4 linked regions of the Pelodiscus sinensis genome follow. The protein of the gene in region 1 interacts with the protein of each later gene in a pairwise test. Links are inferred from orthologs where the notes say so. Each region holds a gene or a part of one and is shown in the gene's direction. Other genes may lie near its edges. The genes, in order: SRC, ESR2, VDR and RARA.

Region 1 (7,202 bases):
CTTGCCTGAAGTAACATGAGTTTGAAAATCAAACCACCACAGAGTTCCATGGGATTTCCTGGCATGAGATGCTGTTTGCTGTAGAAGTACAGACAGTCCGTGCTGTCAGCCTGTGATTTAATAGGTCATAGAAAAGCTACAGGTGTTTGGGGGCTTAAGTAATGGGCCCATTTTCTTCCTTGGATATAATATGACAGGGAAGGATTGTTGAGACAGGTGAAGGAGGGGTTATCTCTGTATAGATACTCATGCAGCAGACATATGCTCAGTGAAGTAGGTATATACGGTAAGAGTGATGTTAGTTCTTGTATTCAGAGCTCTCAAGATCCATAACAGTATGTCCAGGTTGGAAGTGAGTCACAAGGACAAGTTAGCAGAAAAGAGCTCACTCTCCTGACCTGTTCTTCCAGGTTCTTCTGTCTAGAACTAGAGGAACGTGGACTCTTCCTCTGTCAATCTAAATAATCTTTCTCGGAGTCCATGGAAATAATAGTTTGAGGTGTCCACATTTTGGCTTGCCGATACCTTCTGCTGGCCAAATGTGCATCTATAAATCAGTGCCCATTAATGGTTGAGGTGGGATGCCGGAAAATGTCCCTCTTTGGAGAGATCCCAGTGCATGAAAAAGAGAAAAAGGTACTGACTACTGAGCTATGTGGATGGAACCCTATTTCATTTCCACTTCTGTCTGTATATTCAGCCCTGTGCTTCCTCATATTGATCTATTAAGTGCTTCTCCCTGGCTTCATTTCTCCTGAGCCAAGAGGAAGTTGGTTTGAGTGACTGCAGGGGTCTTTCCCACCAGGGATTTACCAACGCTCCTAAAGTTTGACCGGAAGTGGCCATGTGGGTGGAGAGGCGAATGCAGTCTCAGTTTTTACTCAATCCTGTGAATTTGGGTATGGAGCAATTTATGATTCCTTCCCTCCTCCCCCCGTGGCTTCCCAAGGATAGCTCAGCCTTGTAGTGATGGACCATAGCCTCTTGGGATAGGATGAGTGCTCCAAGTTCTTTAAATCCTGATTCCAGGTGAGTGGGGACAGAGAATGAATTAGACACAGAGTGAGACTTACAGACTATTAAACTTATTATCCTATCTTAGATATCACTCAGATATATGTGATTACTACTGCTTCAAACATGTTGGGTCTAGAAGAGATTCCCTTGTTATCTTAAAGGTAGCTGCAAAACAACATCCAATTAAGGCTGGTATTCTTTTCCACTTCTCTATGATGCGTAACGAAAGCCTGACAGGTTGTTTGGTTCTGGATTCTAGTTCAGTGGTCACCAACCAGTAGATCTGGATCTACTGGTAGATCTTGGAGCCTCTGACAGGTGATCCTGACTGGTTAGGCCAAGAGGCTGTCAAGTGCCGGCACTTCAGCTACTCCTCCCCCTACTGCTGCATATCTCTTGCCCTTTGCCTTGGAACTGCCTCCCCCACCCCTGGGAGCCTCCTGCTTGCTTTGCAGGTCAGGAGAGGGAGAAGAGTGGCGCTGATGTCAAGGTGCCCCCTCTCCCAGCCTGTATCCTATCTCCAAAGAGCAGAGAGGGGGCACAACAGGACTTGGGAGGGAGTTTGCTAGCTGTTTTGGGAGTGGTGCAGGGCCAGGGCAGGGGTGAGCCTGCCTTAGCCCCACTGCACCGCCACCCAGGAGCCACCCGAGGTAAGCAGTGCCCAGCTGGAGACAGCTCTGAACCCCTGCCCCAGTCATGAACCCCCCTCCTGCACCCCAATCTCCTGCCCTAGTCCTGAGCCCCTTGGCTCCAGACTCCTTTACAAAGCCTGAGCCCAGAACCCCCTCCTGCATTCCAACTCCCTGTCCCAGGCTGAGCTCAGAGCCCCTCTCACACTCCAAATCCCTTAGCCCAAGACCAGAACCTGTGCCCCAACCCTCTTGCCCTGCCTGGTGAAAGTGAGGAAGGACGGGGTAGGAGGGAGGATGGAGTGAGCAAGGGTGGGGCCTTGGAGAAGGAGCACAAAGGAGGAGGGACAAGAGTATTTGGGTTTGAGGTAGATCTTGGATTGCACTTAAATTCAAAAAGTGATCTCATGCTTAAAAAGGTTGCAGAGGACTGTTCTAGTTTCTAGAGGGGAGGGGTTTTTTCACTTTAGAAATATCAGGCGCATCAACTTAAGAAGTTTTCCCTCCTTTCTTGGAGGATTCAGACATGGGTTTAGATCTCTCTCAGGCAACTGAAAGGGCTGGAGTAAGTAACAAAATAGTTTTTCTTCCAACTGTTTTTTTTTTGGGTGTCAGAGTTAAACAATAAAAATGACCCCAATGCAAAAAAAATAAAAATAAAATAGATTACATGAAAATCACTTTCCTTTTCCATTAATCGGGTTCCATTTTTATGGGATATCATCATCTAGTTTGTTCTCCATTTATCCATAGAGCTTCTGAGAAAAAGAACAGATACAACTGGGAATACAAATGTAAAAACTGACGCAGAACCTCCACTGACTCATGCACCTTTTTGGGGACCAGGTAGCTGAGGCCCTCTCAGGAGAGGCATCTTGAACTAGTAAATACATAATTAGGGCCCTACCAAATGAATGGTCTATTTGGGGTCAATTTCATGGTCACAGGATTTTAAAAATAATACATTTTGTTATTTCAGCTATTTAAATCTAAAATTTCACCCTAACCCTAAGGCAGCTCAGAAGTCTGGGTGACAATTCAGGTTGCACCTCTATAAAAACCAGAACTCTCTGGTATGGCAACTTCCTTGGTCTGGAAGATCAAAGAATCTGGGTCCACTGCGGGGGGAGGGGATGTAGAAGACAGGCACACTGTGGGTGGGGGTGGCAATGACAGCCCAGCTGGACTGGGTGTGGAAGAGCTGGGAAGCCCAGCATGCAGCTCAGCAGGGCTGCAGGGAGAGCCAGAAAGCCCGGGGGAACAGTGTAAGAGGGGTGGCAGCAGGGGGGCAAAATCCTTCATTGTGGACCAGTCAGGTCCCAGGGGTGCCAAACCAGGGAGGTCCAATCTGTACAACAATTCCCCCTAAAATAACTTTGCACATACACACCCTGGGGCTTCCTTTTGGGTTAAGACCCACAATTTGAGAACTGCTGGTCTCCCCCAGTGAAATCTATATAGCATAGGATAAAAGCATACACAGTCATAGTCAGACATGTTTTTCCTATCCCTGAATCTGGTAGGGCCCTAAACATCAGTAGCACTGGAAGTCAAGAGTTCCAGTCCCAGCTCTTCTGTGTGACCTTGGACAAAGTCACTGTCTCATTTCCCCTCTCTCATCAGTCTTCTCTCTTTAAATCACAAACCCTTAACTTTCAAAGGATTGTCTCTAGTCCTAACCTTGTTTGAGGAGTTGTATGAATTCCAGGCCTTCTCATTAATGCTTCTGATGGGCTCAGGTACTAGGGGGAAGAGTGCTGGGGAAAAGGCCAGGAATATCCCACATTTTAGGACACAGGATTAGCTCAGTGAGTGATCACTGGGGAGCCCTTAGACACCTTAGGGAGTGGTGGAGACTCATCTGCAAACAGACTAGATTCTTTTTAAACACAGCTTTTATTTGTGCTCTGGGAGGCTACTTAGAGCAAGCCCATGGGCAACCCCACCGGAATCCTGCCTGCCTAGCCTGGCACTGCCCAGATTATGGGACGCTCTTTGGGGCAGGGAACAGTCCTTTTGCCCAGCTCCATGACGGGGTCTCCGGGTTGCTTAGATCGCACAATAAACAAGCCACAATAATTCCACTCTGGGGGCCCCGGGAAGCCAGCAGCAAGCCCGGGATTTCCCTCCAGCTCGGGATGGCCAGCAGAGGCAGCTGCTCTATGCGTCGCCTCCAGCCTCTGCAGCTCCAGCCCCGCCACCCATCTAGCGGCCCCGGGGGCTGGGTACCGGAGCCGCGTCGAGCGAAGCGACGTCCAGCCCTGTCTTGCAAACGTCGGCGCTTCGCTCCGGACTACGCCAGTTTCCAGCTGGCTGCGCGCCCGGAGCCCTTTTTCCTTATTAAAAAGAAACTGGGGGGGGGGGATCTCAAACGGGGGGGGGGGGGGCTGGTTCTTTTCCCTTCATCTGTTTCCGGTTTGCTGCCATATTCCCCCTTTGGGGGGGCGTTGGGGGAGGGGGAGCCCTGGCAAATCGCTAAGAAGCGAGGATCCCATTCGCGGCGCGGGGAGCAGCAGAGAGGAGGGGGCGGGCCGGCGCCGCCCAGGCACCTGGAGGCAGGGCGGGAGGGGGCGATCCTGCGCCGGCCTTGCCTGGCCCCGATGCTCAACCCAGCGGCATGAATCACGGCGGGGAGAAGGTGTCTCCGCCGCAGGCGGGCGTGCACCGCTGCTGACATCACGGCTCCGAGTCCCCAGCCATTCGCTAGCGCGGCAGCCGGGCAGGGGCTGGGGGAGCGAGCAGCCGAGGGGTTAATTCCTCCCCGCCCCCCGCCAGAGACAAAGCCGGAGCCGGGTTTTGTGTCTGGGAACGCCCGGGACTCGGCCATGAGCCGCGTGTCCGCCTCGCAGCTGTCCGGCCCCCTGCCGCTGGGCCAGGGCGTCTCACCGGGCTGCGGGCGAGGCGTGTAGCTGCGGGAGCTGCGAGCCGCCGGGGAGAAAGGAGCTGCCCGAAGGAGCCATCCGGCCCCGGTGCTTTTCCGCGGGGAGGGAAGGTAAGAGACCGCCCGGCGCGCTGGGGCTGGTGATACGCTCGGGGGCACCGACCAGCCCCGGGGGGCTGCCCCGGCGCTTTGGCATCTCCCTGCCTGGGGGCGGTGGGTGCCTGCTGGGGCTGTCGCCCCCAATGGAGGGTTTACACTGCTCCGCCCGACGGCAGCGGCTGCTCCTGCGTGTGGCAGCCGGGAGCCTCCCGGAGCCGCAGCCTGAATTAGCCGAGGAGCTCCGGGCTAAAGGTATTGTCTGCTAGGGCTGGCGAGGCGGCGGCGGGGGAGCTCGGGGTGCGGGACTTGTTCCGAGCCCCGCACTTTCTTCTCTTGTGCGGGGCTGCCTGAAACGGTGGGGCAGCTCTGTCTAGCCGAAGACTTTCTATAGTTCATTTATTCAAACCAGTCGGGGAAACGAGGAGGGGGGGAGGAGCTATATGTAGGCCAAAATATGAAATATTAATCACTCCGCTGCTTTGATGTCTTCTGAGCCAGTTCCCTTTTACTATTTGTTAAATATTCATTTAAAACAAAACAACGACGTAGCTGCTCTGTGGGGGGTTGTGTGTTTACATCACGTCGTGCAGTGTAAGAGAATCGCTGCTCCTCCCTCTTCCTCCCTCCCCAACCTGGTCCTGTTTTATTTAGTGTTTATGATTTAAAGACTGGAAAACGATTCATTAACCGCTCTGTAACTTCTGCTGCCTGATCAGAATATCGATAGAACATCGATACAAAAAAAAGTAACACTGTGCCTCTTAGAATCTGTGCCATATCTGTAGTAATCGGGAGCTGTCAGGCAAAATACTGTAGTTCTAGGTACACAAAGAGGCTGAGGTAATATTTTGCATTGGAACAACTAATGTTGGTGAAAGAGACAAGCTTTTGAGCTACACAGAGTCCTTCCTCGTTCTTCTGAAGCCAAACACCTGGGGTCTGAGCTGACAAACTTCAATGGGCTTTTGTTGTTGTTTTACTCCCTAGCTATCCTGGGAACATGGGGCGTGGGTGGTGCACATGCTCTGTGATCATTCTGAGACACTAAGAATTTTATGATCTTGATTCATTCATTTGTAACCTGCTGGGAGATGTGTGAGTAAGCCCAGCGGCAGGGATAGTCAGGATGTGCTTAATACATCTTGGCACCAGGAAGGCTTAGGGTGCCTCTTCTGCTGGATGTTCCTGGTACTGTGTGGTGTTTGCCAGCAAACTTCTATATGGCTTTCTACAAAAAATGAATGAGATGGCTGTCTTGTCCCTTGATTCCCTTGCTCCTTCCCTTCTCTTATGTCAGAGTACCTGCACAATGACTTACCTCCCTAGCTTTGTTGGGGTTCTGTTGCTATAAGTATTTACTAATGTTTCCTCTAATTTTTTCCATCAGTGGGCAGAATAAATTTTGTTATGTACCAAGTGCAGATGTGTACCACCAATAGAAACACACACTATCTTTGGATAGCTGGGGGCACTCTACTAATCAGCTGGGTGGCATTTGGATCTCTCCTGGGCAGCCACCCAAGCACTCAGCTTACAGGGAACACTGGTACTTACTGAAGCACCAACAGATATGAAGCCCTCCTAAATCAGTTTCCATTTTTATAAAACCTAGGGCTTTAGAAGCCCATATTGTTAGTTTCTGGGCCTGCAGCCATTACTGTAGTGACTGAATGCCCTTAGGAAATAGGCTGCATTGGAACCCAGAATTATCTCACACAGTCTCTTTGTATTCGTATAGACTAGGAACAACCACCCAATAGTCTATAGTTTGTAAAAAACCCAGATGGTCAGTGGGGGGAGTGGGGGAAGGAGGAGAGGGAGAGGGTGAACATGTATATACGGTCTTTCCTCCAAAAGAGGTGGCAAAGGCTAACTATTTTACCTGTTCCACAGAACAGCTCAATACCAGGGTGATCCCACAGACTGTTAAGGGTATTTTAGGTCATCCTTGACTATAACACCTCCCTGGTAAAGGTTTCCAGGTAGCTGCTCTTGGTTTATGGGGCACAATGCTCACCTGGAGGGGTTGAGGGTTTCTTTTTGGCCAGGCCTGTTTGCTGCCAGCAAGTGCTAGCTTTCTGAATGCTCCCTATCATGCCAGGCTTCAGGGTAGGGGGTAGGGGCCAGGCTGAGGTGTCTATGGTTTTAACCCTGCTGGTTGTGGGTGAAGGACTTCTTTGTGCCATTTATAAATTGCTGCGGGTGGTGGTGATAACAAACCTGATCCACACCAGGAATACAGCACTTGTCACAGGTTGTCAAGTTGTCTAAAACTTTGTCTGCATGGAGAAAGCATTCGGTGTTTGTTGGTGCCCCCCTCCTCCCCCTTCACACACTCACCCCGGTGTTTGCAGGAGAGGAAACTGTAGTATGGACAGAAAGCGGGCATGTCTTGAAGCTGCTCTGCGAGCAAAATGAGAGGACACGATGGTTAGGTGTCTGCATCCTGTCTACACCACAGCGTTCACGGTGGTCAGTGCCATTGGAGGAAACCACTTACCACTTTCTCGGTATAGAAGTAACCAAAGTGTATTGTTTGTGTTAAATTATTTTCAAATACTGTATTGGAAAGCCAT
Region 2 (7,289 bases), on another chromosome or scaffold:
TTGGCCAGTCTCTAGCTTCTTGCGTTGGTTCTCTGTTCCTTTTGGCTCTCTGAGCACTGCCAGTCTGCTGCTCAACACAGGGTCTGCGCTCCTTGAGCTGTGTGTGTCTGGCTCTGTTGCTGCAAAAACTGCCCCTCAGCACACAGCTTGCTCTCCCTGGGCTGTCTCTCAGCTCCCTGTTTTTGCAGGACTTCTTCTGCACACAGCTTGCACTCCTTGGGCAGTAGCTAAGCTCTCTGTTTGCTCAGAGAGAGCCAGAACAATCCCAGCTCACAGGGAGGATGGGGCCTGGCCTCCCCCCTTCCTCACTGGCCTGTCCAACCTGTCAATCAGGCTGAGCTGGAGTGTTGGCTGCTTTCCATTGTCTCTGGGGTCTGTCAGTCTCATGAACTTTTCCCCTTCTGAAACTGGGAGCTGACAAACCAAAAAACTCCCACAGAGTTTTAGTAAGGGGTAACAGGTCCCTTACACTTGGTTCATTCAGTGAAATACCTACATTTGCTGAGCACTACCGGTGTTAGCAACTAAGATTAGCAAGTAGTATGAAGCAAAGGGAGGGGTAACTGCCCCACTCCAATGGTGCCCCTGCCTCCACTCTTAATGCAGCAGTCTTGTTTAAGATCCTGCTGCAGATGGCCCTACTGGCTTGACTATGATTTGTGATCTGGCTTATGATGGGTGTTCTTGACAAACTTGCAGGTAAATGCAATATCATGCATACAGGGAAGACAGCAAATTACTAAAATCTGTGCAAGACTTGTCTTATGTAACTAAACTTTTTACCAATTACAGCAGTGAAAACGGTTGTTTCTTTTTAGTCCAACATTTTTAAAAACAGACCACTTAAAGGCCAAGTTGTTTTAAGTGTTTGTATTGATCAAAGAACAAAACTCAACTGCTTCAATTGTTATAGATACTTTGAAAATCATTCAGTCACTTCAGGCAGCTTTGTAATTCACTTCTCTTTCCTCTTGTTCTCACAATAGCAGTATTATCTGTATCTTGACCTTTCCTTTTCTAGTCTGAATAAGATTGAAACATCCCTTCTTGCTCAGTAGGGCAGTTTTATTTAAGCACATTAGTTGTACAGTAAAAAAGAGACCTATTTGGCAACCTTGGATTGAGTACAATCATTGACATTTATAGAAATGCTATTGATGAAGACAGACATTCACTTGGTCACACCCATTCCCACACCAAATTATTTTATCCATGACTACTGCAAATAGGCAGTAACTTCATACCTCCACTCTCTGCTCCCTTCCCACACAAACTCTCTCGTCCAGATGCTTACAAAAACATAACTAAAAAGAACATTTTTGTTGCTCTGTGAAGAACACTTAATAATATACATTAATAAACTTGTGTCTTCCGTGATGCCTACAAAAGAAAATATTCAAGGTCTATCTGAGCAGTGAGCATGGCAGGACATATTTCGCAACAGTCATACAATTATCTCTATAGATTCCCACTCAACGATTCACGTGCCCAGATTTGAAGGTCCTGGCGTTTAAAGCAGTATTGACCATTGCCAAGCATTTTAAATAGTAAGTCTTGTGCTTTGGTAGCACAATTTTTATTAAATGTTTAGCAGTGGTATTATGCCCATCTTTGACATCAGGAGCTATACATTTTTAATTTCCTAGATGATTGACTCTTGGATTACTCATGCTCTCTAGGGCACCTATTATTTCATTTGGGCTCTGGATTTAAGCATAAATGAAATTGTATCTATTTTCTAGTCTATTCAGGATTTGACTTTTATTAGGACTATCCTGGATTTCTGGAATGGATTTACCTTTCTCCTTTAACGCCATATTGTGGAGCTGCAGAAAATGGTTCATGAGTTAAGGAATCACCTGTCTTCTCTTGCTCAGGTACACTGTCAAAAGGTCTTTGCCAACTTGGTAGGAGGCCTCTGTAATTTATCTAAATTCCCAGGCCCACCCTGGACTTCACAGCCTCATTGTGACATGGTATAATCCAGACTCTGGTGTGTCTAGACTACAGGGTTTTTTAGAAAAAAGTACCCTTTTTTTGAAAACAAACAAACAAAAAAAACCAACCTGCACCTGCGTCTAGACTGCAGCTGCGTTCTTTCGAAAGTAAATAGAAAGAACGTGGCAGTTTTTCCGATTGCAGTAAACCTCATTTTATGAGGAATATGCCTTTTTTCAAAAGTACTCTTTCGAAAAAAGGCGCTATTTAATGCAAACTGTACTTTTTTGAAAGAGAGCCTCTAGACTCGCTTTTCCAAAAAATCTGTTTGTAGTCTAGACGCTCTCTTTCGAAAGAGGCTTGTAGTCTAGACGTAGCCTCAGTAAAATATTGAACTGGTGGGTTCCTTTCCCAGAATATTTTCAGCCTTCACCAATTCACACAGCAGGTGCTGCAGTTGCATTCAATTTAGATCAACAGATGATATGGGGGGGGGGGACGCCAGCTAAAGGAGAGGGGGCCCATGCCCTCCCCACACAACACTTCTCCACTCCAGCCCAGGGCCCCTGCTCTCTCCTCATCACCCCACCCCATGTTGTCCGGGGTGGGGGCTCAGTCCCCTACGCTGGCTTCCCACAGCATGTTTGGCTGCTCTCCTGGGTGTAGTAGCAGGGGGCTGCCTCCCACCCAAGGTTGGCTTTTGGAACCAGTGGCTCAGTGAGTTGAGGAGGAGGAGAGCGGGGGGTAAAGGAGTGGCCTCTGGCTTGCTTGGCCACTGTCCCCACAAACTGAGCAAGGGTGGCAGCCTGATGTTGCTGTAGCCAGGCACTCTCCCAGTCAGTTGGGATGCTGCACCAGACAGTAGCTTTCTGGAAGAGGTTCTGGCTCCACCTCTTCCCTTTCAGCTCTAGTCCCGTTCCTTCCTCTTCTCTCCACACCCCCGGCTATGTCTACACAGCTTCCCTCTTCTGCAAAAGTCTATGCAAATGAAGTGTGGATTAGCATATTGCCATGCTTCATTTGCATAATTAATTAGGAGCCGTTTTTGTGCAAGAGGTTTTTGCACAAAAAGGCACTATCTACACAGTGCCTTTTTGCGCAAAAATCCCCTCTTGTACAAGAGCCGTTCTTCCTCATTTTTTCAGGAAGAATGGCTCTTGCACAAAAACCTTGTGCAAAAACGGCTCCTAATTATCTATGCAAATGAAGCATGACAATATGCTAATCCACACTTCATTTGCATAGGCTTTTGCGGAAGAGGAAAGCTGTGTGATATAGCCCTAGATTTGGTTTTGTTACCTATTTGGGGAGAGCAAGCATTCAGTATGGCTAAGTGAGATTACTCCCTGCAGTTGTGCTTTAATAGGTGATGGCCTTAAGTGAACAACTGCAGAAGCAATTTCGTAATAGAGAATGGAAGAGTATTTGCCGTTAACTAGGGTTCTCAAAATCCTAGTTTCTGCAGATCCACACTGACCCCTTCTTCTTCCCTTCTTTTGAGTTTCTTTTACTGTAAAAAGTTGGTGAGGAACTGAGAATCATTAGAAGTCCCTTTTTTAATGGAGGACATCATGTTAGTTCAGAGCAGCTGTACCCCCATTGGCTATACTGTTCTCAATGTTTCTGGGACTTGCTTGCATTATATCTTTATTGACATTAATTTAGAACATATTCTCCATCGTGTACTTTATTAACAAGGGGAACATACAGTCCAGTGTTACGTCTCTTCTCACTTCATTGTCTCAGCATTCTTAGATAGCTGGTAAATGCTGGCTTCGGCAGCTGTAAATGCTGTTATAATTATGCCATTCCATGCATATATAACTTCAATTTTAAATCTTCTACAGTATTTATAAGTAAAATATATTCATTTCAAGGCAGTCTTCTAATTTATATTAAAGAAATTGTTATATTAGAAGAATGATACCTCTTTTTCTCTCATGTAACCTTATATTTCTCGTTGCTTGTGTTTCTGGTTGCTTACCTGGTGTGTCTTTATTCCAACTAGTTATTTAGTACAATAAGTCCTTAATGCAAACAGCAGTCATATGGGACTCAAGGTTTGTAGTTACTATCTCCAGAATTATAGGTTTGGTTCCCAGCTGAGATTATAAATGCTGATCTTTTAAAATACAGTTCACAAAGAGATGTATTTTAATGCTACTCTTAATAGTTATTTAGGATATATGGTGCCTGTAGTATTGCAGCTGTAGTGTTGTAAAAGGCTCTTACAGAAATGCACACATGCCACACCATTTCCTGCCAGGTGCTCATTGTTAAATAGGGAGCTGTGGTTTATTAGCAGCAGTTTTCTTTTGCAGCAGTCTGACACTCTAGCTCCAGGGTGGGCAATAGTTTTTGCAGGGGGCCACTCCACGAGCTTTGGTAAGTCATCATGGGCCACACATTTCTACTATTTGAGTTTGGGTGTAAGAAGGAGCTCTGGGACGCCACTGGGGTGCAGGGGAGATAATGTGACGTGTAGGGAGGAGTTTGAGTGCAGGAGGGAGCTTGGGGCTGGTGCACAGTGCTGGGGTGCAGGAAAGGTTAAGGCATCTGGGTTCTGGGAGGGTGTTTGGGTGCAGAAGGGGCACTCTGATCTGGGGTAAGGGGTTAGGGTGTGGCACAGGCTATGGCCAGGAGGCACTTTGCACAGGCAGCTCCTGTCCCACGGTACAGTGGGGTACTCAGGCTACCCCAGAAGCTGCTGTTGCCATGTTTCTGTGTGCCCCTTGAGGAAAGAGAGGCAGTGGACCTCTGAGCACTGCTCCTTCCCCCCAACACTGTCCTCATAGCTCTCATTGGCTGGAAATCAGCCAATGGGAACTATGGGGACAGTGCTTGTGGGCATGGGCAATGCACGGAAATCCGCTGTCTCACTGTCCCCAAGAGGCATGAAGAGAGAGACCAGCAGTAACTGGCTGCTTTTAGGGCCATGGCAGGCAGGCAGCCTGCCTGAGTACTCCTCTGAGCCACGGGCCGTATTTTGTCTACTCATGCACTAGCTGCATCTCAGGGCCCAGATTCACACTTGGCTACTGCAGAGGAAGGTAGAGCTGTAAGGGGCTCATTACCTCATCAGACCTGAACGTAGGCCTTTGGCTGTGGGAGGTGGGGTAAGGGTGGGTGTGCTGCTTGTGAGCCTCGCGGTGGGCAGAGTGGGGAATTATGCCTGAGCCCTGCTTCTGAGACTGACTGGCTGTGGCACAGGGGAAGCACTGTGACACCCTAAGGCAGTGGTCCCCAACCTTTTGGGGTGCCGGGCGGTGCACGCGCCGCGCGCCCGGGGGCGGGGCCGTGCACGCACCGCGCGCCGGAGGCAGGGCCGTGCACCCGCCGCGTGCCTGGGGGTGGGGTCGCCCATGCGCCGTGCGTCCGGGCACTTGGCGGGCACACATAAATACCCGGGCGGGCACCTGCAGGCACTGCATTGGGGACCACTGCCTTAAGGGGACTCTGGCAGCAGTGCGTGTGCTGCTGGCAGGGTGCAGAGCACTCATTGTGAGCTCTGTGCGTGACTCCCCAGTGGTGCAGGCAAGAACTGGCAAGGCGGCTAAGGGCAGGACATGCTGGGCCACGTGGCCCTGAGCGAAGACGCTGGACGACCTCATGGCACCCCAGGAAATCAACACATAGCCAGCCCCAATCAAGGGATAGGACTGTGGTACCCATGGGATTTGAATCTTCCTCAGCACTGAGGAGTGGAACTCTCAGGGGATGGGAGGCTGCCAGGAGCAAGTGCCTCTGGGGCAACTCAAGCAGTGGCAGGGCAGGGATGGTGAAGGCCACTGTGGTAGTTGTCGTACTGATACCCTCTCTCTCCAGGGAGCCTGCTCCAGGCAGGCCTGGGTCTGTGCGCTGGGGAAGGGAGATTGGGTGGCTCCTCAGCACAAGCACCTCAGTCCCCACAGACTAGTCTGTGCTTGCTCTAGATGCATGGGCATGGAACTGGTGAGGCCTCGTCTCGGAGCACTGGCGGGGGACAAGTGGGCCCCCCCCCCCTTAGCCCTTCAGAGAGCTGGAGAGGGGGAAGACTAGTGAGTCCCCCCTCAACCATTTGGAGAGCTGGAGGGAACTGGTAAAGCCCCCTGTCAGCATGTTTGAGAAGCAGAGAGGAGGAAACCAGTACTTGAGAGAGCTGGGGAGGGAAAAGGCAGTGAGGCTCCCCCACCCCTCCCCTTGGAGAGCCAGGAGAGGGAAGCTGGTAAGGGCCCCCTCCCTGACCCATGTAGAGAGTGGTGATGGTGGACCTGTGAGGCCCCTCTCCTCAGCCTGTTTGAGAGCCTGGGGAACCAGTGAGGTTCCCCATTAGGGCTTCAGTGTACGGGAGGAGGGGGACTGGTGCCTCAGCTCTTCAGAGAGCCAAGGAGAGGGAAATTAGTAAGGTCCCACTTCAGCCCTTCGGAAAGCTAGAGGGGGGTATGGATGCAGCCCACTCTCAGCTCATCAGAGCGGGCTGGGAGGAGGGAAACCAGTGAGGCCTTCTCTCAGCCCTTCAGAGACCGGGGGGCTTAAGTCCCCCCTAAGCCTCTTGGAGAGGCGAGTGGAACTAGTTGAGGCCTTTCAATCCTTCAGAGAGCTGGGAGAGGGAACCAATGAGGGCTCCTCAGCCATTCTGAGAGCTGACGGTGGGGTGCGAGGGTGTGTGTGGATGGTGAGGCTCCCCACAACACCCCAGAGAGCTGTGGGGAACTGAGGAAACCCCTCTCAGCCCTTTGAAGAGCCATGGGGGAGAACGGGTAAGACTCCCCTGCCCCTCAGAGCTGGGGAGCAGGGAACTGGTGAGCCCCCATCCCTTCCAAGAGCTGGGCGGGGGAAATGAGTGAGACTACCTCAGAGAGCTGGGGGGTGGGCACACCTCCCCCTCAGCCCTTGGACAACACGGGGGGAGGGGCGGAAGAGGGGGAAATCAGGTGAGGCTCTCCCTGTCCTTCTGAGAGCTGCGGGAAACAAGTGAGGCCCCAGTGCTTCAGAGAGCCAGGGAGCAGAAATTGATGAGGCCCCTCAAGATTCTCTCAGAGCCAGGGGGGCAATGGGTGAGGCCTGCCCCATAACCCTTCACGGTGCCAGGGTAGGGAAGCTGGTGAGAGTCAGCTCCTCAGAGAGCTGGAGAGGACTGGTGAAACCACTCCTCAGCACCTTGGAGAGCCAGAAGGGACCAGTGAGGCCTCCACCCAGCCACTCAGAGAGTCGGGGGTAGGGTGGGGTGGGAACTAGTGACACTCGCAGCCCTTCTGAGATCTGGAGGGGGGAAATGGGTGAGGTCAACCCTCAGCTCTTCGTAGAATGGAGGGACATGGAATTGGTGAGCCTCCCTCCCTCGGCCCCTCAGAGACCTGGTGGTGGGAACT
Region 3 (7,313 bases), on another chromosome or scaffold:
GTCTCTCCACAGTCAATGCACCGCTGCGGAGGATTTCATTCACCCCTAAACCAAAGCCAGGCAGCCAGGCTCTGCTTCGCCAGGCGTACAAAGCCCAATCCCAGGCCTGCACTGCACCAGGAAGATTTGCTATGTCAGGTGGGAGTGTAAAAAATTCACCCCCCCTCGCTGATATACCAGTGCAGCCAAACCCTCGGCATAGACACAACTATGCCAGCGGAAGAGCTCTGACGTCACCTTGCCTCACATTATCCTTGGGATACGTTAGCAGATGCTGCAGCTACACCAGAGGGCTAGGCCCGCAGAGGCTCTGGAGTGTAGACACGGCCCCCAGGAAAGTCAAGGGGATCTGGGCAATAAATACCCTTTTCTCCATAGTTCGCCTCTCGTGTAGTCATTCTGCTGTTATCCTCTTGTGGTATTCGGTGTTTTGCATTAAGCCCCTGCTCCTGGAGTCATGGGATTATGTGAGTATCTCGCCTCTCACTGAAAATGGGGAAGTACATTTCTAGCTCGTATGTCCGGAGACAAAGGCCAACATAGGCGATCTCTAAAACCTCTAAGCCTAGTAAGCAAATAAAAGAATCTCCAATTTCTTAATTTACTTATAAGTTTTCTGATTTGTGAGCCAATTGTGCTATGTTTGGGAGAGGCTTGACGTGCAATTTCTGAACGTTTGGAGTCAGAGACACTAGTGCAGGGTGGCTGCAGATCGACACCACTTGGAGTCAGTAGCATTTTGCACAGCACTCTGGGCAAGGGAGAATCTGCCTGGCTGTATTTCCCCACACTGAGGCTGTGCAAAGTTGCTTGTGCCCCCAAAAGTCTGTCTTGCACAATGATAACCAGTGTTCACCCCAGCTGACTGCACAGTTCTGCACATTTTGATTGCCTTTATGATTTATTTTCCTGATCGGCACCATTAAACCAATTTAGATACGTTTAGCAAAACATTTTTCCAAGGCAAATTAAGGCTGTTGAACTTACTGTTTATGGTTCATAGGTTCATAGGGGTGATTTTTTTCTTCTTGTGCTGATGTGTTAGACGCCTCCACTTTCTCTCCTGATGTAGGTTTGTTTTCCCAACAGGCAGTCAGGGCCATAAAACCAATTTCTCCTGGGGATCAGGGGCCGAAAGATGTGAGAGACATTCAGCCAGCCCAAATTTTTCAACCACATTTTTTTCAGTAAAAAATTCAGATTCGGCAGTACCAAAACATTTTGCAAATTTGTACCATTTTCGCATCATTGTTCGTTTTGAAAAAATCCCCAACCCTCACCCCCAAAATTCCAAAGGTTATTGTTTTCATATTTTGAAAACAAAAAGTTTTGATCTTTACAGTTGAAAAGACTTTTCATTTAGAAATTTCCTTTAATTTAAAAAAAATGTAAGAAAAATATAAATTAAAAAACTTTTTTCTGACTTTTTGATTGGCTGAAAATTTTTTAAAAAAAGGTTTTCAATTCAGTCTGAACTCCCTCCCCCCAAACTGAATTCCCGGCAAACTGAAAATCCATTATTTGGCCAGCTTAAATTCTGGCAACATTTAAATGGAGTTTCCTGCAAATCCCCTCCCAATTTTATACAAGGAGCTCCAACTCATAAATGCAAAGATTCCAAAGCCAGATGGGACCACTGTGATCATCCAGTCTGCCCTCTTTCACCAACCACACCACAGAACTTCTCCACACTAATTCTTTGAACAAATCATTCAGAACAATGTCAAACCTTGGTTGAAAACTTGCCAATCACAGGTGCTTTTGCAGAGACATGTCTGAAGAATGAAAACGAGGAAACACATTAAGGAATTTGAAATCTACAAATCCATAAATAACACTTTACAGATGTGTGTGATAGTCCCTGTTGTTTCCACATCTTGTGATATTACGTGTTTCCTGAAGTCCCGGCTCATGGAGTCTGGTGATTACACGAGACTTTCATTAGCAGGGGGGAAGTAAGTCTCTATCCCTCATGGTTACAGAGAAAATATCGAGTTCATATGCCATAAAGGCGCCAAATTCAGAAGGCCAATAAAAAGGACAGAAAATCTGCCTGCAGATGCATACTGGGTCCAAAGTCTCAGGTGTTGTAAACCAGGATGTTTTGGGGACTTAAACTGGTACTTAAGTATTGCATAAGCTTTGTGCTGGGTCGCTGCACTGGAGTGAGAGGAGGTCATTTTCCTAAGGCTCTGGAAGATGTCAGAAAAGTCCTCAGATAAGACGGAAGGACTGTCATCTCTCTGCCACATGGTAGCAGATCTTGGGCCCTTCATGACTGTTTCTCAGTGGAGGAGAAATCAGCGAAGCAGAGCCTGGGTATTTTCTCATGGTAGCTTGTTGATTCACACTATGTACCCCAGTCCTGGAACAGAGGGGGTCACAAACAGCAGGCAGATCTCTGTTGGAGATCTCAAACCAGCAATCAATACCTCCCTTCCAGGGAGCAACGGGTGCCCCTGTTTTTAAAAAGGAAAATGTCACCCCTATGTGGAGCTGGAGCAGGGACAGCACAGCGGTGACAGGACGGTGCATGCACAAGCCGACCGCAGCCTCCATTTCACTCGCCGCGGCAGTTTGAAAGCAGCCGGAAGCTCCAAGCCTCCTCAGGTCCGTCTACACTGCAACACTATTTCAGGATACCGGAGTATCCCAAAATTGCTATCCCGCGTCTTCACAGCAAGCCCGTTATTTCAGGCTCACTATTCCGACGTCCCTGCAAACCTCGTTCTACGAGGAGTAAGGGGTGCTTCGGAATAGCGCTGTATTTCGAAATTTGGTGCTGCGTAGACAGCGACAAATGATGAAATAAGCTACTTCAAAATAGCCTCGAGAGAAGATACACAATTTGCGTAACTCAAATCGCGTCGCTTATTTCGAGTTACGGTGCAGTGTAGACTCCCCCTCCTGCCCTGTGCAGGACTCCCTGCAGCCGCTGCTGGTATTTAAAAGGACTGGTGCAGCCCCGGACCCCCTTAAGTCCACTGGGCCCAGGGACAATTGGCCCCTTTTGTCCCCATCGACAGGCCAGACAGAGCTACTGCAAATCCAGATCCATCAAAACGAGCCATCCCTGCAGACAGCAAGCCGCAGAGGCAATTAAATGCTGGAACCACCTTACTGTATTTAAACAGATACAGGCAGGATTTGGAGACTGCTGCAACCCCCCAAGGCCCTGCCTTTGAAGGAAGCTTCATGAGAGCGCCCATTAGCACAGGAAGGCATGTTGGGGTTCTGCAGAGTCTCAGCAAGGAAATTCATGAAGTTGCTGGGCCAGTTTTTCTGCTGCCCTGCGTGGTGCCCAGGGCACTCGGAATGGCCGGATTGCACCTGGTGTAAAAGGGTGTGAGGTCTGGAGGTGGGAGGGGGCTGCAGAACAGCCATGCCTCTAGCAGGAGTCTAGCTGGTGGTTGCTGAGCTGCCCAGGGCAGGAATTTTGTGTATTGTTTCCTTTCATTCCCATTCTTGGGCACTGGTGCCAACAGACGCAGGGCTGAGCCAGCCGGGGCAGCCGCGGGGGAGCGGAAAAGCTCTGCCGCTCGGACACTGGACCGAGACAGAACCACCCTGATCTAGAGTGGAATCAAGTGCAAAACTCCTCAGTGCTGGGGCCCCAGCACGGACCTTGTGGCCAGGAGCTGGTGCCATTTCCACGGCGGCTGTTCGGAGTTCCCAAACCCCTGCGCGTCTCCACGGCTCACTCCGACAAGTGCGCTGTTGGGAGCTGCCTCTCCAGCATGCCCGTCCCCAGGGCACCTGCCACGCTGGGCCACCGAGACAAGCGGCTGCTGGCTGGGAATGCAGCAGAGAACGGCCAGGCTTTCCCGGCTGTGCAGGGCTGGCAGAGGCTGGGGTGGCAGGGAGTCTGAGGGGAGGGGGCAGGCTGGGGGGCTGAGGGGAGGGGGACAGGTTGGGGGTCTGAGGGAAGGGGCTGGGGGGAGGGGGCAGGCAGGGGGCTGAGGGGAGGGGGACAGGTTGGGGGCTGAGGGGAGGGGGACAGGTTGGGGGTCTGAGGGAAGGGGCTGGGGGGGAGGAGGGGCAAGCTGGGGGGGGCAGTCCGAAGAGGGACGAAGTGAGGCGGCAGAGGACAAGCGGGGCAGGGGGCGGGGCTTTTCCCGGCTCCGGGTGAGGGCGGGGCAGGGGGCGGGGCTTTTCCCGGCTCCGGGTGGGGGCGGGGCGAGGGGCGGGGCTGTTCCCGGCTCCGGGTGGGGGCGGGGCGAGGGGCGGGGCTGTTCCCGGCTCCGGGTGGGGGCGGGGCGCCGGTCGCTTCCCGTCAAAAGGCGGGCGCGGGGCCGGGGGGGGGCCGGCGGGAGCAGGGGGCGCTCGTAGCACGTGCAGGTACCGGGCTGGTCTCCGGGGGCGCTCAGCTTCCCCCCCCCCGGGGCGCTGCCGGGCTCTGAGGGGCGCCCCCCCCCGGAGGGGAACGGGGGGGGGCGCTGCCGGGCTCTGAGGGGCGCCCCCCCCCGGAGGGGAACGGGGGGGGGCGCTGCCGGGCTCTGAGGGGCGCCCCCCCGGAGGGGAATGGGGGGGGCGCTGCCGGGCTCTGAGGGGCGCCCCCCCGGAGGGGAATGGGGGGGGCGCTGCCGGGCTCTGAGGGGCGCCCCCCCGGAGGGGAATGGGGGGGGGCGCTGCCGGGCTCTGAGGGGCGCCCCCCCCGGAGGGGAATGGGGGGGGCGCTGCCGGGCTCTGAGGGGCGCCCCCCCCGGAGGGGAATGGGGGGGGCGCTGCCGGGCTCTGAGGGGCGCCCCCCCGGAGGGGAATGGGGGGGGGCGCTGCCGGGCTCTGAGGGGCGCCCCCCCGGAGGGGAATGGGGGGGGGCGCTGCCGGGCTCTGAGGGGCGCCCCCCCGGAGGGGAATGGGGGGGGCGCTGCCGGGCTCTGAGGGGCGCCCCCCCCGGAGGGGAATGGGGGGGGCGCTGCCGGGCTCTGAGGGGCGCCCCCCCCGGAGGGGAATGGGGGGGGCGCTGCCGGGCTCTGAGGGGCGCCCCCCCCGGAGGGGAAGGGGGGGCGCTGCCGGGCTCTGAGGGGCCCCCCCGGAGGGGAAGGGGGGGGGCGCTGCCGGGCTCTGAGGGGCCCCCCCGGAGGGGAAGGGGGGGGGCGCTGCCGGGCTCTGAGGGGCCCCCCCGGAGGGGAAGGGGGGTGCTCCCTTTCTCGGGGCAGAGTGAGGGGTTGTCGGGGGGGGCCCCTGGCGTTAGCCCTGCCCAGCGCGGGTGCGGGCTGGGGCGAGGACTGGGGGGTTGATTCCCCCCTTCCCCATGTCCAACCCCCCCCAGTTCCCGTCCAGCCCCGGGCCGGAGCGCTCCTGTGCTGTCCAGGGACTGGCTGTAGCGACTGGCGCCCTTATTCCTCTTTCTGTCGGGGCTTGTCGTGCGCTCCTGTTGCTTTGTCCATGTCTCTCTGGGGCCCGGGGCCCGGATTAAATGCCGGATTCCTCCTGTGGTTGTATAGAAGGACTCGCTTCCTGGTGCCTTAAACTTTTACCTTGCAGCCACATAGCAATGCAAACTGCCTTGCTGTCAACCCCTGGGCTTTGTGCTTCTGTGAAGAGCCGATTTCGAGCCTCTCCACCCCGATACATTAGCTGTGTTGGGGGGTTTTAAGTCGAATCTCTATACAATTTCTGCCCATCTCTCTGCTGTCTCTGTTTTTTCATTCCCAGTGGCGGGATCTGCAGCCCATTCCCACTTAATCTAAGAATGTCAGATCAGTTTAATGAGATGTTTTGGGGATTGCAAGTTGTACAAGTGTTGTGAAAAACCAGACCCCTCGGCTACCTGGCAGCAAGATAGATACCTGCTGTGTTTGGTGTTTGATTATTATGTGGCTGTCCATAATATTTTGGTCACTAAGTCATCTGGATACTGAATGACCAAAATATTATGGATAACGAATGAGCATGTTAAAACAAGTCTTAAGGCTGCTTTCTCAGTACCTCTCTGTGTGTGACTTTGCTACTTGTCATAGCTATTTTGTTTATAGTTTTCCAGTCGGCTCACAATCCACAAGTTATTTCGTCTGAGCCAATTGAATGAATGTGCCGGTTAAGACTTCGTGAGGCACAGTATAGAATGCCTCCAGTTCCAATAGACTCTACACTTGTAGTGACTTGTTTCACTATATTCCTAATGATAAAAAATTTGCCTTACTGCAATATAATTGCCAAGGTTTTTTTCCCTCTTTTGTGAGGGATAAGCTCCCTTGTGCATAACCTTCTCCTCAACTGTGCCCCCCGGGTTGGGTCTAGGACATGGGTGAAAGGTTAAGGCATCTCTGGACCCCACTTTGACAGGATAGAGTAACTGGAGGGATCATTTTCTTTTTTGGGAAGGGGGAATGAGCATGCTGGGTTAGGAGGAGAAGCTTCTGCTTGGGGCAAAGATGCGAGGTATAAAAGGAAGACTGGTGTCTTCTGCAGTGTGGCTTTCTAGCCTTTGGAGGGCTGATGTAGTAACAGCATAATGCTGGCGTCTGGCACTTCCGAAAGTCAAGTAAGGTTCCATAGAAGCCAGTTTCCATGAAAACCCCTCTAAAGCTTGTTTCCTTTCATGACTTGCTCTCCTCCCACATTAGATGAGACCAGTGACTCATGTTCCTTTCTGGGCTCAGTATAAGAGGCTGTAGCATGTTCCAGAGCATATGTCTTTCCTTCTGAAGGGAACTTGGTTCTGCGTTCAGCTTTAGTATGGAGTCTGCAAACACAGGCACTCCTCTCTTGCATCTGCAGTACAGTAGGTCAGAGCTGGGTCAGTAGGCTGTCTGGCAAGAGCACTTAGTATCTGGCAGGATGGGACAAAGGCTTTAATAACTGCTTTTAAACCAGTCCAGTCACTAAAGAACCTTTAACCCATCAGACATAGAGTAATTATGTAAAGCTTAGTCATTTTACTCCCCTCCCCCCCCCCCTTTTAAAGCCTCTTTCCTCCACAATACTGGGCGTTTATAAACTAGCTTTGAGTTGAAGTTTTTGCTGTGAGTTTAAAGTGCTCATGCTATGAGGCAGACTTTCTCATTCAGATAGGACGGTTTTTCTGAAATATGTACGCAAACTTGAAATGCACCAAAGTTCAGGCTAATCTTGTTATGAGAGAGTTAAGAGTTCTGATTGCTCAGAGCTGAATGACTTTAACCAAATGCACTAGAGACTTGAGCAGTGTGTTTTAATCATGACTAGAGAGCATACAATTTTGGCTGGCTAGGGCACTACACCCAAATCTTGTGTACAGGGAGCTACAGTAGACTGTACAATCTGTGCTTTCATCATTTTCAATTTAAGTTGCCTCATCACCATATGGAATCTGCAACTATTTCACCAGT
Region 4 (7,524 bases), on another chromosome or scaffold:
TGCCCTATGATGCCGCCTGGCCTGCGGTTCCTCACCTCCCTCTGCTTTGGGTTTCAATTGGATTCTACTCTTTGATTCTACCCTGCTTTTTATCCGGGAGGAGTAACCCTCTTGAGAGATGAGGATGCAGCTGCCCTTGAAGCAAGCTTCCTCCAGCAGGGGGCGCTCCTGTAGCACCGTGAACCCTGCGGCTCTTGCAGGGACCAAGTTTGCGGAAGTTGGAGGAAGCCGCCTTGCGTGTGTGAGGCCAGCCAGTGTGGGGATCCAGGGCCACCCCTTCTTCAATCTATTTTTAAATGAAAAAGTTGCCTTTCCGGGTTGAAAACGACTTGGGGGTCTGCACCAAGTGTGATCAGTTTTAATGACCCTTCTGTGAGAATGTAGCAAAGACTAAGATGTGGGCCAATGCAGTGAATGCTTGGCATCTGTTATGTCCTTAACTTCTCTCTCCTCCCATGGCTCCTAGGTTAGAGCTGCCCTTGGACGGCAGGAGGTCTGTTCCGAAAGGCAAGTGCAAGGACATACCTCCACTGCGAGGCAGACTCAGCTGTATTTACAGGTTGGGAACCTATGATGTAAATAGATATTAAAGTCCTCTCTCTCTCTCTGACGTGTGGTGCTCTCTGACCAGCTTGACAGGTCCTTCCGCCTATCTTCCCCTGCTGCAGAGACATGACTACATTCTCTGCAGCTCATGTAACAACGTTCAAATATCTAAAAGGTACTACAAGGGGTGGGCTTAAAATCGTGCAAGGGGGGTTGAGTTCGGACATTAGGAAGTTTTTCCTACCTGGCAGAGAGGTTAAGCCCTGGAATAAATTGCCTAGGGAGGTTATGGAATCTCCATCATTGATTTATAACGGCAGGTTGTCACAAGCCAGGGGGTGAACTCGGATTCTCCACACCCACCACCGAGAGGGGTGAGTTCCTGCCCCTTGCGTGGCCAATGCGGCATGTGGAATAATCTCTAAATAACGTCTCTAAAGCCTGCTATCTGTGCAGCTGCACAAGCAACCCAGCTTCCTGGCTATGGGAACTCATCTAGCCACGTGCTACAGCGCATGCGTGGCACGGCTGACTTAGCCTAGGCATTAGCCTTCGCTGTCCCAGGTGAAGGCAGAGAGGGCAGGGGCCCAGAAGTTGAGTAAATGCAGGAGCCCTGTTCACCTGGCTCTGCTGTACTCCCCGCTCAGATTGCTGGGGGGGAGGGGCATACAGACAGCTACTTTCTCTTGTGGGGCTGGCGCCTACCTAGCTGTCACCCCTGTGCACAAAGCCAGTGGTCAAAGAGTTAATGGGCTGCTGGGGAAGATGAGCTGTGACCTAATACGAGGCAGGCTCAAGAACAGATGGGAGCCTTGATTTAAATTCCATTTTGCTGGCTGCTGAACCCTTGAGAGAGTTGTTCCTCCAGCTACCGCCTGGGCTGGGTCCAGTGCCAGCCGGGCTGAACTATTAGCACATTTTCCAAGATGCTGGCAGGGAGAAGGGGTCAGCCAGAGCCTCTATCACGGATACAGCCTTGTGGGCTGCTATTTCCTTGCCCTCCACAGCGCCCAGGGCTGCTTTGCTGCGCTGGCAAGCTGAAAGCAGATTTATTTTTAACCACCCCTGCTGCAGCCTCCCAGTAGGATCAGAGACTCGCTCCGCATCCTCTGCTGTCACGGCTGGTTGCTACCCAGGGCTAGAGAAGGCTCCAGCGCGCTTTCCCCTAGCGGGAAGGGCGCTTGCGGGACTCTGGGGCATGACTGCTCTCAGAAGAGGCAACAGCGCCTTACCACCTCCGATAGTTCCCGTCAGGCTGCACAGGGGGTGGTGCCCAGGTGCCATCAGATCTGTGTTGGCCTCATGGAGGGAATGGGGCCAGGATCAAACCCTTTGCATGGCGATTAAAGCCCAGTATGATCTGGCCTTCAACAGGCAGGCTGCAATCCCCTTGAGCAAGGACTTTGCTGCTGTTATGCTTCAAGGCTAGAGCTAGGCTCTTCCAGAGCAGGCCTGCACCTGTCAGCTGCCCCTGGGAGCAAGACGCCACGCCTCCACTACCACCAACACAGCTGCCTCTTTGCTTGCTCGCTCTCCCCAGGGAAGGCCAGGGAAGGGCAGAGGCCTGGCACTCATAGGGGCTGGCCCCACAGTCCAGGGGCCAGGCTGCAAGGCCCTGTGCTGGGTTTGAAGCTACTCAGGGGAAAGGAACTGGGAGGCAGAGACTGTCTGGGGAGGAATACGGGGCTGCTCACCTGCTGCTTGCCCCCTGCCTTGGGCTGGCAAAGTGCAGAGGCAGGAATCCAGACTGGATCTAGGGCCCAGCCTCAGTCATGCCTCTCAGCAGGCCCCGCTGCTGCCTGTCTGGGTGCAAAGTGGTCCCAGCCATTTGAATCAATTGTCCTCAGGGGGCTCACATCCCTCTGCCAGCCAGAATCTGAGCTGTCCTGCTATGTGGCTGTGACGGTGTGCTGGGGTCCCCCGTCTCCTGCACCCCCAAATGGCACGAACAGACTCCCCCAGCCAGTAGAATGGAGGTAGTTTATTGCTTCTCCAGGATACAGCACAGCACAGATGTCATCTGGTTACAGGAACTGGGGCTAAGAGGCCTCAGTGCCCCCCTTGAGATGGGGGAGTCCCAGCCCCCTCCCCAGCTCCTTCTCCCCTGCTTTCCAGACAGGAACTAACCACCTCTCCTCCAGCCCTGCCCCCAGCCAGGGCAGCATCCACCTTCCTTTGTTTCTCCCCATGGGGGGTGGCTGGTCAGACCAGTTTGGAGCCACCTTTGCATAATGACTCCCCCCTTCCCTGCTGGGTCTTGCTACAGACAGCAGAGGTCGCCCCAGCCCCAGCAAGTTACCCCCACTACCTCACAGTGGCATAGCCCCTGTACTGCCGCTGGCTCGTGGAGAGGGGAGGCTCTGGCTGGGCAGGGCAGTGCGGGTTGGCCCTGCCACAGGAGGGATGCTCTAGAAAAGCAGCGAGTCTGGCCCTGTGGTTGGACTTGGTCCCGCCTTGGCCTGGAGCACAGAGCTGCTGGCCCCTTTTCTCCCAGACAATGGCTGGCTGTAGGCAAAGGCCAGATCTGCGGTGCCTACGCAGGGCCCTGGGCCTAGCTTCACACAGCAGCGGGCTGCGCCCTGGCACTAGACCTCCCTTTGTGTTTTACAGGCGCTAATTGGGTCTGAATCAGGCGAGGCTGCTTTGATCTCTCAGCCATTTCCCACAAAACCCTCATCAGCGATTTCTAATGAGGGGGCCCCACCATCTCCTCTAGGCCTCTTCCACCCCCCATCCCTGCTTGTTAGGCACCGGCCCTGCTTGGCAATGCCGCTGGGGGACAGGCACTCCAGCGTGACACCAGGCTGGGTGCCAGGGAGTGTCGAGGGGTGCCCCCTTCCGGCCTGGCCACAGAGCACCCCTCTCCAGTGGGACTAGAACCCAGGCCCCTCGCAGGGTGCGGGCACAGCCTGTGCTACCTGCTGCCCTTTGGCCAGGGTTGGAATCCTGCTAACAATGCCCCTGAACCGGTTCAACCTGTCCGGTTGCGTCTGGAGAGTCCCAGGAGTCAGGGTGTTACTGCTGAGGCCTGGGGCCCAGTCCCATTTGGGTCATGACACTCTGAGTCCCACGCACCCTTCCTGCGCGCCTGGCGGCCGCACGCTGACTCTGTTCCGCCCCAGAGGTGGCTGCAGTACAGCAGCTGGCCCAAGATCCTTGTGCTTAGGGTGGAGCTGTGCAGCTTAGCAGCCTGGGCACCGGGAGCTGGCCTGCAGCCGTTTGCGGGACCGGTGGCGTGGTTGGCAGCGCGCTTTGGGCAGCGGAAGGAGCGAGAACCGCCCCCCCTCCCAGTGATGCCTTTGTCTGAGCAGGGCCACGGCCCCAAGCCGGGATGGGTGGCCTGCAGCTCCAGGGGATTCTCACCACCCTTTGGGCTGTCCTGTCATTTCCGGCGGGTTTGATTCCTGGCAGCAGCATCCGCGGTGCTCCAGGACAATTGCCGGGCCAGTGAAGTGAGGGAAAGCACCGGGCCGGCAGCCCAAGGGGAGGCCTTTGCTCCGTCCCTCCCAAGCACCCTGCCGCGCAGGGTCCAGGGTGGGGCGGCCGGGGGCTGGCTCGGAGCAGAAGCGTTTTAGGGAAACTTCCCTGCGAGTAGTTGTGGCATGAAACCCGCTGAAGTGCCAGTAAAACCCACCTCCCCCCTGCCCCCCCACACTTGGGGCAGCCAGCTTGGGAACATGCTGGGCCCCCAGGAGCCACCCCACGGGCGGAGAGGGGGCGGGAACGGGCTGGAAACAGGGGAAGAAGGGGGGGGTTGGTTTGGCTTCTTTAGCACCCGAAAGGCCCCGAGCCGGGTGGGGCCCAGGACTGCACGGGAGCCCCCCCCCCCCCCGGTCCGCGTGCACCGAGCGCGCTTGGCCGCAAGGCCCCCGCTGTGCTAGGGCGGCGCGGAGCCGGGCGGGCGCTAGGACCGGGCGCGGCCGGGCTCCTGTTGCAGCTGCAGACGGTGCTCACCCTCCCCCGGCAGCAGGGGAATCCTGGCTGCCGCTTTGCAGGGCTTCCCCCGGCCCCCGGCCCGGCCCCGCGCTCCGCCAGGTAAGAGCGGCCCCTGCCCCCTCCCGTGCAAATGCGCCACCAGATCCGCGCGGGCGGGGCGCCCTGCTGCGCCCCCCGGGGCACCCCCAGCCTGGCCGCGCTGGGGCAGCTGCTGCGGCGCCCCTGAGCCGTGCACGGGGGGGTTCGGACAGTGCCCCCCCCAGGCTGGGTTTGTCCCTGGGGGGGCCTTGTCCCTGCCCCCCCCGCCCCCCCGGCGCGGTGCAGACTCCCTGGCGTGCAGCGAGTTGCAAAGTGCAGCCGCGGGGAAGGGGAAGTGGGCGAGGCTGGGGCGAGCCGGCGGCCGGGCTGGGAGGCGGCCTTGGCTCCCCATGGGGAAGGGCTTCGGGGGGGAGCGGACCCGCCGAGGGCCCGGGCAGAGCGGGGCCTGGCTGCCGAGCCGGAGCACGAGCTGCTGGGAACTTTCCCCAAGTCCTGGGTCTCTCCAGGCCTGTGCCCAGCCCTGCGGGGGAGACATGAAAGGCAGGGACAGAGCCCTGGAGCCGAGGGATGTTAGTCACAGCTGGATCTGCCCCCCCCCCGCCCCCCCATGCCCTGTTTGGGCAGCTGAGCTTCCTGCTCCGAGCTGAGCCCAGCGCTGGGGCCACTTGCATCAGTCTCGCCAATGCGTGTAAAGACCCGCCTGCCCCCACTCCCAGAGGTGGCTGCATTTCGGCCAGTGACTCCTTGTGTGAGCTGGGGGAGGGGGGTTTCTCTCTGTGCCTCAGTTTCCCCAGTTTAATGGAGGATGTTTGCTGCAAAATCTGGAAGGCTTGACCTGGGAAGTGGGTAGTTCTACGGGGGGGGGGGGGGGGAATTTTCCCATTCGTTCAAAGAGCCCAAATAGGTTTTTCTGGGCAAGAAAAGGGATCAAACCCGCCTGGAAGAAAACTGCCCCGATCTGTGTGCCAAGGCCTCAGTGCGCTGCCCCCGGCCGGGGAGCCAGGCCGGCCCCGATCCTGCCGGGGTGGTGCCCGCGCAGGCCTGGTGTGCAGCAGGGAGCAGCTCCGTGCCTTGCTCGCTGTCGGGTGTTGTGGAATCCAGCGCTGGGCCGGGAAGCTGGCAGATTCCGATGGCGGCGGCTGGGCTCTGACCATGGAGCAAGTAGAAGGGGGCTGGTGAGACGTGGCCAGGGCCAGTTTTCGGGGTCCCCGGCACAGACGCCCAGCGGGGGGGAGTCGGGCCGCAGGCTCTGGTCTGTGTCAGAGGACGTCTGGCCAGGGAACGAGACTGACTGACTGTTCGCTAGTTGCATGGCTGCTGCTCCCAGGGCTGGGGGTCTGCTTGTGGCCCAAGCCCTTGGCAAGGGGCGGATGAGTTTGTCCCCTGCCAGGTTTTACAAAGAGAGGGGGCATTGCTTCAGTGTTCCGCATGGGGAAACTGAGGCAGGGGGCAGCGTGGACTTGCCTCAGATTACGCAGCCAGTCCCTGAAGGGACTGGAAACAGCCCAGGAGTCCTGACTCCAGTTGCATCCTGTCCAGCAGCCACCGGTGTGTTTCTCTGGCCCATGTCTACCCGCCGCAGCCCCCCGGCCTGCCGACAGGACTGGGGATCCGCTAGCACCTGCTCTGAAGGGATCTGTGCCCTGGGTGCCCTGCCAGGAGTTGCCAGCTGCTGTGCGCGCACCTGGGGCTGGGTCTCAGAGAGGCCTGGGCTGGGCAGCCAGCTGAGGCAGGTGGGGGGCTGGGTGCCTGCTGCCATCTCTGCCCTGTGATGCCCACCTGAGGACAGACGTCTCACGCCCCAGGGACCAGGCCTCGGGTCGGGGTGCAGCACTGGGTGCGGCTGGGGAGCACCTGGAGGTCCCCCCCATTTGGTGGGGGGAGGTTGCTGTGCTTGACGTGCAGCCTCCCAGCTCCCTGGCTGTCAGTTGTGGGATCTCCCCCCCCCCCCCCCCGCTCCCGTGTAATTATCTCGCGGCTCCGCAGGCTGCCGAGCGAATGTAGGTCATGCAGATGGGTGAGTCCTGCATTTCCATCAATTAGAGCGTGCAGGGGGACGGGGAGGCGTGCCACAGCCGCCCGGTGCGCCAAGGGGGGCTCAGGGCTGGCACCGGCCAATGCTTCTCGCCCACCCAAGGCTCCGACCCCATCTCTCCCTCCTGCGGCAGGGCTGGCTGGCTGGGGAGCCTGGGGGTAGCACGCAATGCGGGGGACCCTACCCAGCCATCTGGGGGCTAGCACCCTCCATGGGCTGACAGGACTGGGGTGGGGGTGCTGGCCACAGCTCAACAGCCCCCTCCTGGCTGGGCTAAGTACGAAGGGGGGGTTTGATCAGTTTTCGGGGTGGGGCAGGAGCATCTTCTGCCAAGACTTTAATTTGATCAGAGCTGGGAATGAGGATGCCAGCCAGTTTCAGGGGAGGAGGGCAGTGGGGGTCTAGTGGTTAGAGGGGGCTGGGAGCCAGGACTCTTCAGCCAGTGGCTCCTTGTGTGAGCTGGGGGTTCTCTTTTTGCCCCTTTCTGTGCCTCAGTTTCCCCAGCTGTTTAATGGGCAATTGGGAGAACGGCTTTGAGATCCTTGGCGAGGCTGCTAGAGGGAGTGCCATCTGTCTGGCAGGGTCGATCTGCCTGGCTGCCACCCCTCCCCATGGCAGCATAGGGGCCTGGTCTGGAAGCACAAACCTGCCAACAGCCTGCAAGGGGGGTCTCCTGAAAGTGCCCCCTGGCTCTGTCCCAGCATACCCAGTCCTGGTGCCCCTCGGTCCCGACCTGCAACCCCTGCTTCTCTTTCTTCCCCCTCAACCCTCTGGTACGATCTGCAGCAGTCAGGGTGGGGGCAGGAGGACTCGATTAGATTTGTGGGGGCTGGGGGGTGGGGCCTGTTAAAGCGGGGGGTGGGAGCTGGGAGTCAGGATGCCTGGGTTCTATTCCCAGCTCTGCCCTGGACTCGCTGCATGGTGCTGGGCGAATCGCTGTTCTGTGCCTCAGTTTCCCCACATGTAAG

Evidence for each region.
Region 2: the proteins of SRC (region 1) and ESR2 interact in a two-hybrid assay, tested with the Homo sapiens proteins (2 studies listed by BioGRID). The link is inferred for Pelodiscus sinensis from reciprocal best matches to the Homo sapiens genes SRC and ESR2.
Region 3: the proteins of SRC (region 1) and VDR interact in a two-hybrid assay, tested with the Homo sapiens proteins (2 studies listed by BioGRID). The link is inferred for Pelodiscus sinensis from reciprocal best matches to the Homo sapiens genes SRC and VDR.
Region 4: the proteins of SRC (region 1) and RARA interact in a two-hybrid assay, tested with the Homo sapiens proteins (2 studies listed by BioGRID). The link is inferred for Pelodiscus sinensis from reciprocal best matches to the Homo sapiens genes SRC and RARA.

The regions. Positions count from the first base shown.
Region 1 is NC_134728.1:24,429,224-24,436,425, reverse strand, and holds the start of SRC (proto-oncogene tyrosine-protein kinase Src), read left to right. Parts: upstream 1-4,131; 5' UTR 4,132-4,638; intron 4,639-7,202. UniProt on the Homo sapiens protein: Non-receptor protein tyrosine kinase which is activated following engagement of many different classes of cellular receptors including immune response receptors, integrins and other adhesion receptors, receptor protein tyrosine kinases, G protein-coupled receptors as well as cytokine receptors.
Region 2 is NC_134714.1:15,611,063-15,618,351, reverse strand, and holds the start of ESR2 (estrogen receptor beta), read left to right. Parts: upstream 1-4,261; 5' UTR 4,262-4,323; intron 4,324-7,289.
Region 3 is NC_134729.1:79,136-86,448, forward strand, and holds the start of VDR (vitamin D3 receptor), read left to right. Parts: upstream 1-4,234; 5' UTR 4,235-4,338; intron 4,339-7,313.
Region 4 is NC_134739.1:10,843,846-10,851,369, reverse strand, and holds the start of RARA (retinoic acid receptor alpha), read left to right. Parts: upstream 1-4,476; 5' UTR 4,477-4,581; intron 4,582-7,524. UniProt on the Homo sapiens protein: Receptor for retinoic acid. Retinoic acid receptors bind as heterodimers to their target response elements in response to their ligands, all-trans or 9-cis retinoic acid, and regulate gene expression in various biological processes.